Linked DNA regions of Diceros bicornis minor. The protein of the gene in region 2 interacts with the protein of the main gene of each other region in a biochemical or structural test. Links are inferred from orthologs where the notes say so. Each region holds a gene or a part of one and is shown on either strand. Other genes may lie near its edges. The genes, in order: POMC and MC4R.

Region 1 (6,963 bases), on a different chromosome or scaffold from region 2:
CGGTTTCCCCAACCTGGAACAGGGGGATTGTGAGTCCCGGTTACTTCTTCACATCAGTTTCCAAAAGTTGGGGAAATCTGAGGCATCACAGACGTACTGCCTCTGCGGTGATATTTACCTCTAAATGCCAATGAGGCAGATGCCAGCCCAAGCGCGCACACAGGTAACTTCACCCTCTTCTCAACGACCTCAGCAGGCACGCCAGGCCTGCGCCACACTGGGGTGCTAAGCCTCCCGCTCGTCCTAACTGGAGACCCAACACCGTCCTTAATTAAGTTCTTTCCTGAAGGTGCCAGGTGCGCCCTTTAGCCGGACAGTGCTAATTCCAGCCTCCGGGGGCAGAGATCCAGCCTCCTTTCCAGGCACGTCTGCCCTTGCGCTCAACCCCTACCTGGAAACCCCCCTCACCATGGCCCCCCTTCCCATGGACGGGGGAGTTGCTTGTTACGCTGCCCTGCCGGGAAGTTCTCGTTTAGCGCCCCACACGGGCGAGCCCCGTAGGTATATAAAGACAGAAGAGAGCGACCAGGACCAGACGGCGGCGAAGGAGGAGAAAGAGCGGAAGAAAAGTGACCGAGAGAGGCCGCCGAGCATCCTTGCCCCGGCGCAGCGGGAGTCGCCCAGAGAGCAGCCTCCCCGCGGCAGGTAAGGGCGCCCCGGCGCGGAACCTAGCTCTCCCCCCGGGACCCCCTGCCCTGGGGCCTCGGGATGCTCTCGTCCAGCTCCCATAGCGGACTCGAGGCGCCGTTGCCTCGCTTCGGTCCTGAGCTCTTTGAAAACTTTCTGCACTGAGTGCGGCGTGGGAAGCCGCCCGCAGCGGAGCGGCGAGGGCCAGCCTCCGGCCGGTGAGCGAACGGCTGCCACGCTGGAGATGGTGCTTCCCGGAGCTGGCGGCCGCGCCTCCTCCGGGGAGTGGGGCTGCTAGAACCCCTGAGACTCCTACCGCCTTCTGGGGAGAGCCCGGTCTTTTGGCTCCTCTTCCTCTCTATTTCCTGGGGAGGTGTCACTTCTTAAAGGACACCATATAACTCTGGCGCAAATTAACGTTGGAAAGGGGGCAGGAGAGAAAAGGCTAAAAGTCACAATAAACTCCCTGCATTCCAGACTTTTTGGGATTCAGACCCCAGAATCCTCGTTTTTCTGCCCACCTTAGAGCACTCGACGTGGCTGCGCCACGGTAGCGACACGGGTCTCCCAGCTGGGGCAAAAAAGAGGACGCCCAGTCGGGAACTGTCCAAGGTCCTGAAACGCCATGTCGGTGCCCTCCATAGGACTGCAGAGTGCACTTCCCATCCCGCAGACCCTAGGCCGCAGGGCGGCAGCAGCCGTTTGAGCTGACAGAGGCTCAGGCAAGGGGGGGTCTCCAGGGAAGAAGGGAGAGTCTGCAGGGCATTTGGATCCCCCAAATTCTTCGGTATAAGTGGGAAGGTGGTTGTTCTCAAGGAATGGCTGGAAGGAGCCAAGGAAAGTAAAAGCGTGCATTTGTTTTGTCAACTGTGAAGATATGCACAGATTATGGCTTATTTAAGGAGTTAATATTCCTTTGACACTTTTGTTTTAGGACTTGATGCACGTGTATCATGGTGCAAGGACAAAACCCCGTGCCTCTGCTCCTCTAATCTTTACAGAAGGGCATGGCCAGTGAGCAATGTGAGAGTAACAAACAAAATGTTTTGTTTAGCTCATAGAGAATTCACCTACACATATGAAGTTCTAATAAATGTAGTTGTATTATAAAGTTAATGTCAAGATTAACAAATTACAAATTTCTATTTGTTTTTCTAAGGCTTTCAATTATTGGGTTGTAACACTCTCCTTACCCTCAAAAAGCACAGCTTTTGACATTTCCTGGTTACATTACTGCTTTAAAAAAAGGACACAAGGTAATATCTCTTCATTGTAGAAAAATAGAAAATACACAAAAGCAAAAAGAAAACAAGTTGCTTTCAGGAAACTATCTAACTTTTTAGCCAGAGAATGGAGCTCTGAGAGGGTGGGGAGTGAGAATGTTACCATGTTGTGCAACACAGCCAATGCAGCAGAAGAAGAGGAAATGCTCTCTGGGGCTTTTCAGAAAGCCCTGAACACATGAGGTAGGTTTTTAGAAAAAGATCATTCTGGAATGGCCAATCTTGAGGAGAATTTAAATATAGTTGAGAGAACTGTCAGACCTGTATGATTCTACTTCTTTCTCTACTAATATGTTCTTTTACACTTGCCCACAGTGATATATAACTACCATTTTTCTGCTTCTCTTGTAAATCTGGGCATTTTTCTGTGCTGTGTGGTCTCAGAGCTTTAATGTAAATTGCCTTGTCCACCAAGTTCAGGCTTCATACTTGAACTGGAGCATCAAAAGGCTACAACAGGAGCAGCCTGTCCCCCATCATGACTGGACATTACGATTTGACCAGTGCTCTCTCAGTTGCCCCTTCAGCCTGAGATACTGATGGGCCAGCTCACTGGCTGCCAGTGCCATCTAATGGCTGCTCTGAAAATAGGCAGTGCCTGGCAACCATTCAGAAGGGAGCCCTGAGCTGGCTCAGCTTTTGGGGAAAGGAGTGGGGGTGTGGCAGAGAGAAGGAAGTGGCTTCCTGAAGTAGACAATGAGAACCAAGGAGAGCTTTCACTTCTAAAGCCTTCCCTATAAAAAAGATTTGGCCCATGCCTCCACAAATGCGAGATTTCTTTAAGTAAACATTTTAAAATGCAAATGTCCACTAGGAGAGACAATTAGTCACCTACATCTTAATGTAAATTACTTTTATCATCTAATTAGGTTTCTTCCTAACAGCTGGTTGAGAAGATCTTCTAAAATCCAAAATGATTGTGGGGTTGGTGGCGAGCTCATGACAGAACTCAGGGTCACTTCAGGGGGCTGACCTGGGTGAGGGGGGACATGGCAGCATGAGAGCTAGAGGGCTGGGGAAAGGGTTGGGCACAGGGGGCAAAGGGCAGCATTGGCTCCACTCTTTACCGCATCTTGACCTCTTGGCCTCAGCATCTGCCCAGAGGTACTTCCTGACTTCTCCACAAGGGGAAGTAGTTCCCTTCTGCTCTGTCTGTCCATCTCCTTCCCTTCTACACCTACAGCATCTTCAAGTCCAGCTATTTAGGACTACATTTGAGAGACTCAGAGAACAAGAGGTCTGACATGTAATATGTTCAGAAGATGAGCCAGTTTTAAAAGAATGGGGGTGTGCTTTACAAGTAAATCTCTCCAAAGATGCCGGGGTGTGGGAGATAGTGATCATTTGTGGGGTTTGTGTACAGGACATCAAATTGGGTTGGCTGTGGTTTTGGCTAAGTTGGCCAGAGGTTTTATTTGTGCTTATGCAAACCTACTATTCATAGGAAATAAGAGTTTCTGAGGAATGATAGGATCCTGGTGGAGGCGGAGGGAAAAGACCATCGAGCAGGAGCTTCAGAATCCTTTGTCTTTCCCAAGTTACTCCTTGGTTCTGGAGTGTTAGAACTATAGCTTCATGTAGGTGGTGAAATAGGAAAGCTCCGTGCTAGTAAAAGGAGAAATTAGCCTCACCTTGTCATGAACACCCAAGTTATTGTCTCTCTCTGGGCCTCAGTTTCCCCATCTCTTAAACAACGGGCTGGACCAAATGACCCCCAAAATAGCTTCCAGCCCTATCTCCTTTCAGATCTGATTTTTAACAGGAGATAAAGGGGAAATTCCACATAGTTCACCCAGGTCCCACTCCCCTCCGCTCTACCACAACTCACACCACCACTCTGCACACCAACCTTCTCCTTGAACTGCTCCTGTCCTCAAAAAGCCTTGAGCTCCACAAATGAGTGTGTTGTTAATGTTGGCTCACAGTCCTTCCTGGTGAGTGACCAACATTGTTCTGCTCCTTGCAGGGGTCCCACCAATCTTGTTTGCCTCCGCAGAGCCTCAGCCTGCCTGCAAGATGCCGAGACAACGCGGCAGCCGCTCGGGGGCTCTGATGCTGGCCCTGCTGCTTCAGGCCTCCGTGGAAGTGCGTGGCTGGTGCCTGGAGACCAGCCAGTGTCAGGACCTCACCACGGAAAGTAACCTGCTGGTATGTGGGCCATGGCTGCCATCTTGTTTGGGCATCAGGTGGGACTGGGGCTGGGGTTGGGACAGCACAAAAGAAAGGGGTTTGGATTCATTCCCAGAGATACTCAACCCAGGGCAGGAACAGATCTCTAGGGTGAAGTCAGAATTGGGTCAAGGAGGGGAGGAAGCAGCTTCAGGAAGCAGGACCAGATGGGTCTGGTCCACAATTTTGGCTTGATTATCTTTGCTTCCTGCCCTGTCTCCTTGTATGGGGACACTACTCCATTTAAGCTATTTAGAGATAGTGCCATAAAAATAATAATAACAATACTAATAACAGTAATAACAATAATTGCTCCCTCAATTGATCCTACATTTTCAATCTTTTAGCCTCCAAATTATTCGTTTTTAAATAACCTCATATCACTTGCCATCTGCATTCCACTTTTCTTCCCTTTTTATCTACTACCAGTTACAACCCCAGCGAGGTAGTACCACAAATCATCTCTAAAGGGAGAAGGAAAAACCCAGGTGCCATTTTCCTCTAACTGGTGCCCAATGGCTCATGCTTCTTCTGGAGGACTGACCTCCTGCAGCCTTTCCAGAAGCATGTAAAGGCCCGTTGTGCCAGGTTGGAACTCCCGCGAGGTTACCACAGGGTGTGTGTGTGTGTGTGTGTATTGGGAGGCATAAATGAGAAATGATACCAAGCAAGGACTAAAAGACACACTGCTGGTGTTGGTGAGCGCGTTCCACCCTGCTGCCAGCACCTGCGTAGTGAAGATGGAACGCACATCACTACCTTCTGTGTTTTGTCAATGGAGAAGCTGAGTTAAGGTGAAGAGAGACTTTCTCAAAAACACAGAGCAGTTTGCATGTGGAATACAAAATAGAAACAATGATCTCAGGGAATTCTGTGAGTTCTAGTTCAGAGAGATGCAAGAGGCTCTTGACTGGAGACACCCACTGCACAACGTCTCCTGAGAGCTCACCAGGGAAAGAGCACAGCCATCATCAGAGCCCATGGGTTCTAGTCTCAGTCCTGTGAGCTACGGAACCTTGCCAAGGTCCTTTCACCTCTCTGAGCTCTCCTGTGTCCAGGGGAGAGGAGTATGAAATACTTCTTATTTTCCACTGTTAATATTCTGCAGTGTTAGAATTCTAAGTTCCCAGAGTATGAAATTCCCAACTCAAGAGTGGGTGGGATGCTTCTGTTTCCTCCTTTGCAGTCTTGAGTAATTGAAAACTCAAGGCTGCAGCGTATAGGTCATTTTCCTAAGCAAATGTTTACCACAGCTGAGTTGTCTAGTTACAGAGAGCAGAGACACGCACTCCATGACCCGTGCAATGGAAATAATCCTGGCTTTCTATCCCTCCCTCCAGTCAGAATGAGATGACAGGGAAGCGAAACCCCCTCCCAAAGCTCACTGATTGGGGAAAGTACAGGATCAGCTCAGAAGTCTTGAAAGAACCAGAGAAAGTGCCAGATGGACATGGGAAAGTTTTGAAGCATGGTACAAGGAGATAGCTGGGGTAGGGCATGGGGTAGGTTTGCAGATCGCTGGGGTAGGGTTGAGGCATTATTGAAAATACAGGCCCTAGAAGCCAGACTTGTACTTCTCCCACCTGGGGAGATTCTACCCCAAATTTCAGCCCAATGTCCTTCCCAGACTCAAACTGAACCAAATATATTTATTCAATATTCATTAAGTCCCAACGACTAACACCCACCCGCCATTTATTAATTCCTATATATCAGACGTATAACGGGAAGACGGTGACCCTGCTCGCAAAAGCTATGGGACAAGTAAACCAAGGAGTGGCATGGGGTTTTTGCTGCAGCTGCCAGGCAGAAGTGTCAAGGGGTACAGGGACAAAGCAGGCGATGCCCAAGCTGAGTCTCAGGTGTCCGTGGGGGCCAAGAGGACGAGGAGGGCAGGCGTCCCCGGGAGCGAGGGCCGCACGTGGTGACGGTCGCGGGGCACTGGAGGCGCGGAGGGCGCAGGCGCAGCGCGGAGGGCGTGCTGGGGGGGCTGCCGGCGCGCGGCCCTCACTCGCCCGGCTCTCCCGCAGGCGTGCATCCGGGCCTGCAGGCCCGACCCCTCGGCCGAGACGCCCGTGTTCCCCGGCAACGGCGACGAGCAGCCGCCGACCGAGAACCCCCGGAAGTACGTCATGGGCCACTTCCGCTGGGACCGCTTCGGCCGCCGGAACAGCAGCGGCGGCGGCGGCGCGGGCCAGAAGCGCGAGGAGGAGGCGGTGGTGCTGGTGGGCCGCCCCGCGCCCCGCGGCGATGGCGGCGAGCCGGGCCCGCGCGAGGGCAAGCGCTCCTACTCCATGGAGCACTTCCGCTGGGGCAAGCCGGTGGGCAAGAAGCGGCGCCCGGTGAAGGTGTACCCCAACGGCGCCGAGGACGAGTCGGCCGAGGCCTTCCCCTTGGAGTTCAAGCGGGAGCTGGCCGGGGAGCGGCCCGAGCCCGCGGCGGCCCCGGCCGGCCTGGAGTACAGCCTGGTGGCGGAGGCCGAGGCGGCCGAGAAGAAGGACGAGGGGCCCTATAAGATGGAGCACTTCCGCTGGGGCAGCCCGCCCAAGGACAAGCGCTACGGCGGCTTCATGAGCTCCGAGAAGAGCCAGACGCCCCTGGTGACGCTGTTCAAAAACGCCATCAAGAACGCCCACAAGAAGGGCCAGTGAGGGCGCAGCGGGCGAGGGGCTTCTCTCCCCAGGGAGTCGGCCCTACGCCCCGCTCCTCGCCTGCCTCCTGCCGCCTCGCAGCCTGGGTGTGCTGTTTGCTCGGGCCGTGATAGCGGCAGATGCTCGGCCTCTTCCCGCCGTGTGTAGTTAGGAAATAAAACCCTTCCAGTTTCACATCTGACTCTGACTTTGAATGTCGACTGGGTGAATAAAGTAAAAATACATATCCATCA
Region 2 (6,162 bases):
ATAGGAGCTTCATTTCTACTTCTATATAGGGAGAATGAACAAGTTTTATTAAATTACTTGAAATTTCAGCTTATTTTCTTAATGATTAAGCATCTATTCTTCAATATTTCCCCCTTAAATGCTAGAATCAAATCCTTTACTTTAATGTTGTATAGTGTAATGTAAGAAACCATTTATTAGAACATATTTAATGAGACTGTGATTTCCGTGTTCCTAAAACAAGCAAAGTGTCAAATCTTTATGAATAACAAGAAAGAGACATTGTTAAGCTTTTAATAAGGACCTTTATCTTTTTTGTAAATGCATAGTGCCTACAACCTGTAATATGGATTAACATTTTACAGCCAAAACGTAGCATGACATTAAAAATACACAGACTGGGCATTTTTCATATGAAAAATCATAAACTTAAATTTATACAATAGATGTTTTCAACCAGTGCCCTACACAGAAGAAAAAACTTGCTGAAGCACACTGTTCAGGTTGTATAGGAATGAAAGAGTCTCTTATGCATGTTTTTAGCATCTCCTCTGTCCCCATTTAGTATCTGCTGGACAAATCACAAAGGCCTCCTAGAGGGTAGCAACAGATGATCTCTTTGAAGGTTTTCCTGAGTTCTTGGCTCCGGAGTGCGTATATCAGAGGATCAATGATGGAGTTACACATGATCAGTATGAGATACAAGTTAAAGTGAGACATGAAGCACACACAGTATGGATTCTGGGGACAAGAGATGTAGAATATTAAGTGGAGGAAGAATGGGGCCCAGCAGACCACAAAGACTCCAATCAATATGGTCAAGGTTATCGCCCCCTTCATGTTGGCACCTTGGCGGATAGTGCCTGTGCCTGGGAGGACAGCGATCCTCTTAATGTGAAGTCTGGCCATGAGGAACATGTGGACATAGAGAGAAGCCATGAGAGCCAGCATGGTGAAGAACATGGTGATGAGGCAGATGATAACAGCACTGCTATCTGAGTAAATGATGAACAAAATGCCCGAAACCGTGCAAGCCGCCCAGATACAACTTATGATGATCCCAACCCGCTTAACAGTCATAATGTTATGGTACTGGAGAGCATAAAATATAGTAAAATACCTGTCCACTGCAATTGAAAGCAGGCTGCAAATTGATGCAAGCAAGGAGCTACAGATCACTGAGTCAATGACATTATCAATATTCACTGTGAAACTCTGTGCGTCCGTATCTGTACTGTTTAACAGGGTGATGACAATGGTTTCTGATCCGTTTGAAACGCTCACCAACATATCAGCCACAGCCAGGCTACAGATGAAAAAGTACATGGGCGAATGCAGATTCTTGTTCTTGGCTATTGCCACAATCACCAGAATATTCTCCAACAAACTGATGACACCCAGAGTCACAAACACCTCAGGAGAGACAAAAAGTTGCTCGTAGCACCCTCCGTCAGAGTAGCCTTTTCCAAGGGACTCACTGGCATTGCTGTGCAGTCCATAGGTGCTGCGGTTCCAGAAGTGGAGAGAAGTGTGCATTCCATGGCGATGAGTAGAGTTCATCCTGCGCCAAATGGATTCAAATCCCCTCTGAATTGATTCAACCTCCTGGGTCAGGTAGCCACAGTGATTTTCTCCACGTCTTTATCTGGCTGAAAGTTATGAGGCTAAGATTGGCATGCCTGTGGTGAGTAAATGTCACATGCTGAGAAGCTTGAAATGGAGTTCTTAGTCTCTTTCAGGTATTGCTCTGATCACCGCCACTTTCAAATCTTAGGCTTCAAAATGCTCATTCTCAGTCGAAAGAGTCTGCTGTTTGCTTTTTCGTTCTCACTTCTACTTTAACTTTAGTCTTATGCATTCAGGTCTTTTCAAAGTAATTTTCCTAGGAGCTGCTGTGCCATGGGAGACGAATCTGTGTGCACATGCTCCCTTCAGCTGCCGCTCAGAGGTATTAGTTCCCAACCTGAAGCGTTGCTTTGAGTGTTAGTAGCTGCTGCCGATTTTATGGTGTGTGGAGGGAAAAAAAATGCTCAGAGTGGCTCCTCCTCTGCTTCCTTCCGACCAATCCCAGTGCCGTGGAAGTCTGTGAGACAACGGTGATGTTCCAGAGACACAAACTGCAGGGCAACACTGATTCACATGCAGAAGCTTGGGGGATCGGGAAGCGAGCAGAATGAGAGAGACTGACTGTGCCTTTTCAAGTTTTCCAGGAAGACAATTTGGTCCATAGAGGACATTCTTTGATATCACAATGAGCCATCTTGAGGCACCCAGGCTTATTCCTACTTAAAAGAGCTGTGTGTGTGTGTGTGTGTGTGTGTGTGTCCCTGAAACAGATACACTACCTTTTCGGCTAGGATGTTGAATTTATTTACTCTCTCAGTTTCTTTGATTAAGAATCCAGGCAGTAATGCTTCAATTTAAAATACCTGAAACACAGAGAGAATATTTGATAATACAGGTAGACTATGCTACGGATGGAAGAACTATGTAGGTAGCTACAATTTACCAAAGGGTTCAAGAAGGGGTTCATTTCTTAGGTACTGATATCTGATATTTCTCCATTGTGGTTTCTGTTATTATAGCTGGAAAAGTTTTATTTTCATTCACAATATTTAAAAACCAGACAGCATTAATGTAAGCTATATTTACTCTGAACTCAGAAAGAAAAAGATCAATAATTAAACACTCAGTTTTTTAACCTTTACTGAGATATAATTGATATACAAAAAATGTGCATATTTAATGTAGAGATTTTAATGAGTTTGGACGTGTGCATACGCCATCATCGTGTTGCCAGCATCCTGGGTTCTTGTTGTCCCCCAGGATAGAAATCAAGAAAGAGCAAGAGTGAGATGATAGAAAATTTATTAGCTTGTGCACAAGAGAGCCAACCACGAAAAGGCAAGAAAGGAGAGGGAGAGAGGCAGCTGGCTTCCCGAAGAGCCACACTGTGTTGGGTTTTTATCAGGATGGCGGAGGGGATGTGTCTTCCGTCATGGCATGTAGAGGTGGGGTTGTGCTTCCGCTGGCACTGTCTGGTAGCATGCGATTATGTGCGATGCATATATCATTAGCATGCTTGCTCTCCTCCTGGGGGGATTTTTAGTATGGTAATGGGGCTAGGGTCACCTTCAGTGGACTCTTGGGTGCTAGGGCACGTGCGTAAGCCAGGGAGAGTCGGGAGGCTGTAGAATGTGGATCTTGGTGGCCTCTATCTGATTCTCTTAGCTTGCTCATTAGTTAGGGGCCCTGTCTTATTAGGCCAGGGGCTTTGCAGATGTCCCTGTCTCATTAGGCTGATTCCTGTCTCAACCATAATCAACGTACTAAACATATTCATCACCTTCAAAAATTTATTTATATTCTTTTGTGTTTTCTTTTCTTTTTATTTTGTGGTAAGAACGTTTAACATAAGAGTTATACTCTTAACATATTTTAAAGTGCAAATACCAGGTTGTTAATTATAGGAACTATGTTGTACAGTAGATCTCTAGAACTTATTCATCTGCAAAACTGAAACTTTATACCCATCAGCCAACAATTCCTTGACAATGGTCTTGGTGATGATTTCTTGGATTTAACACCAAAATCAGGCAACAAAACCAAAAATAGACAAGCTGGATTACATCAAATTAAAAAGCTTCTGAACAGCAAAGGAAATAATCAGCGGAGTAAAAAGGCAACCTACAGAATGGGAGAAAATATTTGCAAACCGTCAATCTGATAAGAGGTTAATATCGAAAATATGTAAGAATCTCCTACAACTGAGTAGCAAACAAAACAAAACAAATCTGATTTAAAAATGGGAAAAGGACTTGAATAGACATTTCGCCAAAGAAGACATACAAATGGCCACCGGTACATGAAAAGGTGCTCAATGTCACTAATCATCAGGGAAATGCAGATCAAAGCCACAGGGAGATATTACCTCACTCTTGTTAGGATGAGTATTATCAAAAAAACAAAAGATAACAAGTGTTGGCAAAGATGGGGAGAAATTGGAACTCAGTTTTGTTTTTGTTTTTTAAGGCAGCCAATCTACCTCCATAATTGAAGGCTTTGTAAATTAAATCCACACATATCTTGGCAACTTTACTTATTCAAGCCAAGAAAAGTAGATGCTAGTTATTTATCAGTTTCTGAGTGTTTTGCTTAAGCTAAGTTTGAAAGATTGTGGCAAAGTTACTATTCAAATTAATTAAACTCCTGGTTTTAAAGTGTATGTAGTATCCTTTTCTTGCTATGACTATTTTTGGTTTTAGCTGACTACTAATTTGGTTTTAGCTGTGGCTACTAATAATAGGGACAATAAGAGAGAAGTATTTCAGGCTTAAAGTTCTCAATTATTTAGGTAAGGGTTTTATTTTCTTTCCCTTTTGTGACAGAGATAATGCTTTTATTTTCTTTCCCTTTTGTGACAGAGATAGTGCTAAGTATTATTCCTGAGCATTGAGCTAAATCAGCATCTTCTATCCATCCCTGGAATTAGATGAGGCCTTATGACTGAATTCTACTAATGGAATGTGGGTAGAAGTGATGTGCATTATGTTATCTCCCTCATGATTCTACACATTTTCTCTCCTATTAGTAGATGACTGCAGAATGTCTTTGAAGACTCATGTCATAGATGGCAGAGCCATATCATGGAAGAAGGCTGGGTCTCTGAATAACTGCACAGAACAGAACTCACATCCCCAACTCCCACCACACCCTAGCCCACCAACTACGTTGAACTGTGGTATGAGCAAGCAACAAATATTACTGTTAAGCTGCTGAAATATTGATATTCACTTATCACAGCAACTAGCGTAATTACCTTGACTTTCAAATTTTTTATGGAGCTATTTACAAGCACAAACCCATATTACATACAAATCCTTTCTTTTCCCCATTTTGGATTTGTATGAGAAGTGAATTACCTAATAAATAAACAATAGGGAAGAAATCTATTGAATTGTTTAAGCATCAGATAGTCAACTCTGTATAACCTTCCTGAGTCAACCCTTGACTTTGTGCTGCTCCCTACTTCTCTTGTGGCATAATCATTCCATTTGCTTAGACCTAAAATTCAGAGTATCTTTGACTTATCCATCTTTCTCAAAAATCCCTACATGCAATCACTTGTAAAATACCTTCAATTCTACCATTTGTCTTGCTCCTCTTTTCCTCCTTACCAAACTCACTTCTCGTTATTCTCCTTCACAGAAACTTCATTGCAGTCAAACTTGCATGCAATACCCCATGCACACTAGAGATTTTCCCATGAATTTACACTATTCCCTCTACTTGGAATGCTCTTCCCCTATATTTGTGAATGCACAATCATCCTTGTTTTGTAAAACTTATTAATAGGTATATTATATAATATATATATATAATTATATATTAGATAGAATTAGTAAAGTGAAAACAAAACTCTCTTTCTTTTAGCTTTTCACAAAAAAAAGAATTTTATTTACAGACATTATGACCATACTGAAATCCAAGAAAACCATGTATATTTAAAATCTCAAATTTAATTATTTGGTGTAGATTTATAAAACCTTGATTGTATGGTTAATCACACTGAAAAGGTGACATTTTGTCATGTCCAAGGAAGCATTTTAATTGTCTGCCGTAATTTAGTTCACTGTGAGCCAGAAGAAATACAGCCAGCAATGTTAGACACGTTAATGGTATTTTCAAAAATTTATTGCAGATTTCTTTTTTTAATACACACAAAATTGAGTAAGATCATAATATGTTTCTCTTATGAGCAAAATCCTTGTTTTATATTTTATAACAATAAATATGAAACATTACTAAAGAGAAGTATTTATCAAACTGTTTTACATGGAATACTATTTTTAGGAGATGTTAATGTTTTTTCCACCATAGAATAAAAGGGGAGATTCCAAGGTCAAATCATTTTGGAAAATATTGCAAACTCATTGCCTTCTGGAAGTTTCAGAGTTTACGTTAGCATATAAAATTTCTGAAATTTCTTACTAGAAAAAATTCAGTATTGCTTAATCCACTTATTTCGTAAGCTTATTTGGATATAGAACCTACCTTCTCCTACGTTTATTTTTCAAGTAGCTATTACGCTCAGTTCTGCTATAATGCTTGTTTTGAAAATGCAGATTTGCTCCAAATTTGAAGGATTTATCAGGGAACATTTTGAGCATAACACAAATTTTG

What was found.
Region 1: the proteins of MC4R (region 2) and POMC form a complex in vitro, tested with the Homo sapiens proteins (2 studies listed by BioGRID). The link is inferred for Diceros bicornis minor from reciprocal best matches to the Homo sapiens genes MC4R and POMC.

What each region holds. Positions count from the first base shown.
Region 1 is NC_080751.1:57,386,874-57,393,836, forward strand, and holds the start of POMC (pro-opiomelanocortin), read left to right. Parts: upstream 1-3,926; coding exon 3,927-4,058; intron 4,059-6,109; coding exon 6,110-6,730; 3' UTR 6,731-6,963.
Region 2 is NC_080755.1:51,340,027-51,346,188, forward strand, and holds MC4R (melanocortin receptor 4), read right to left. Parts: upstream 1,540-6,162; coding exon 541-1,539; downstream 1-540.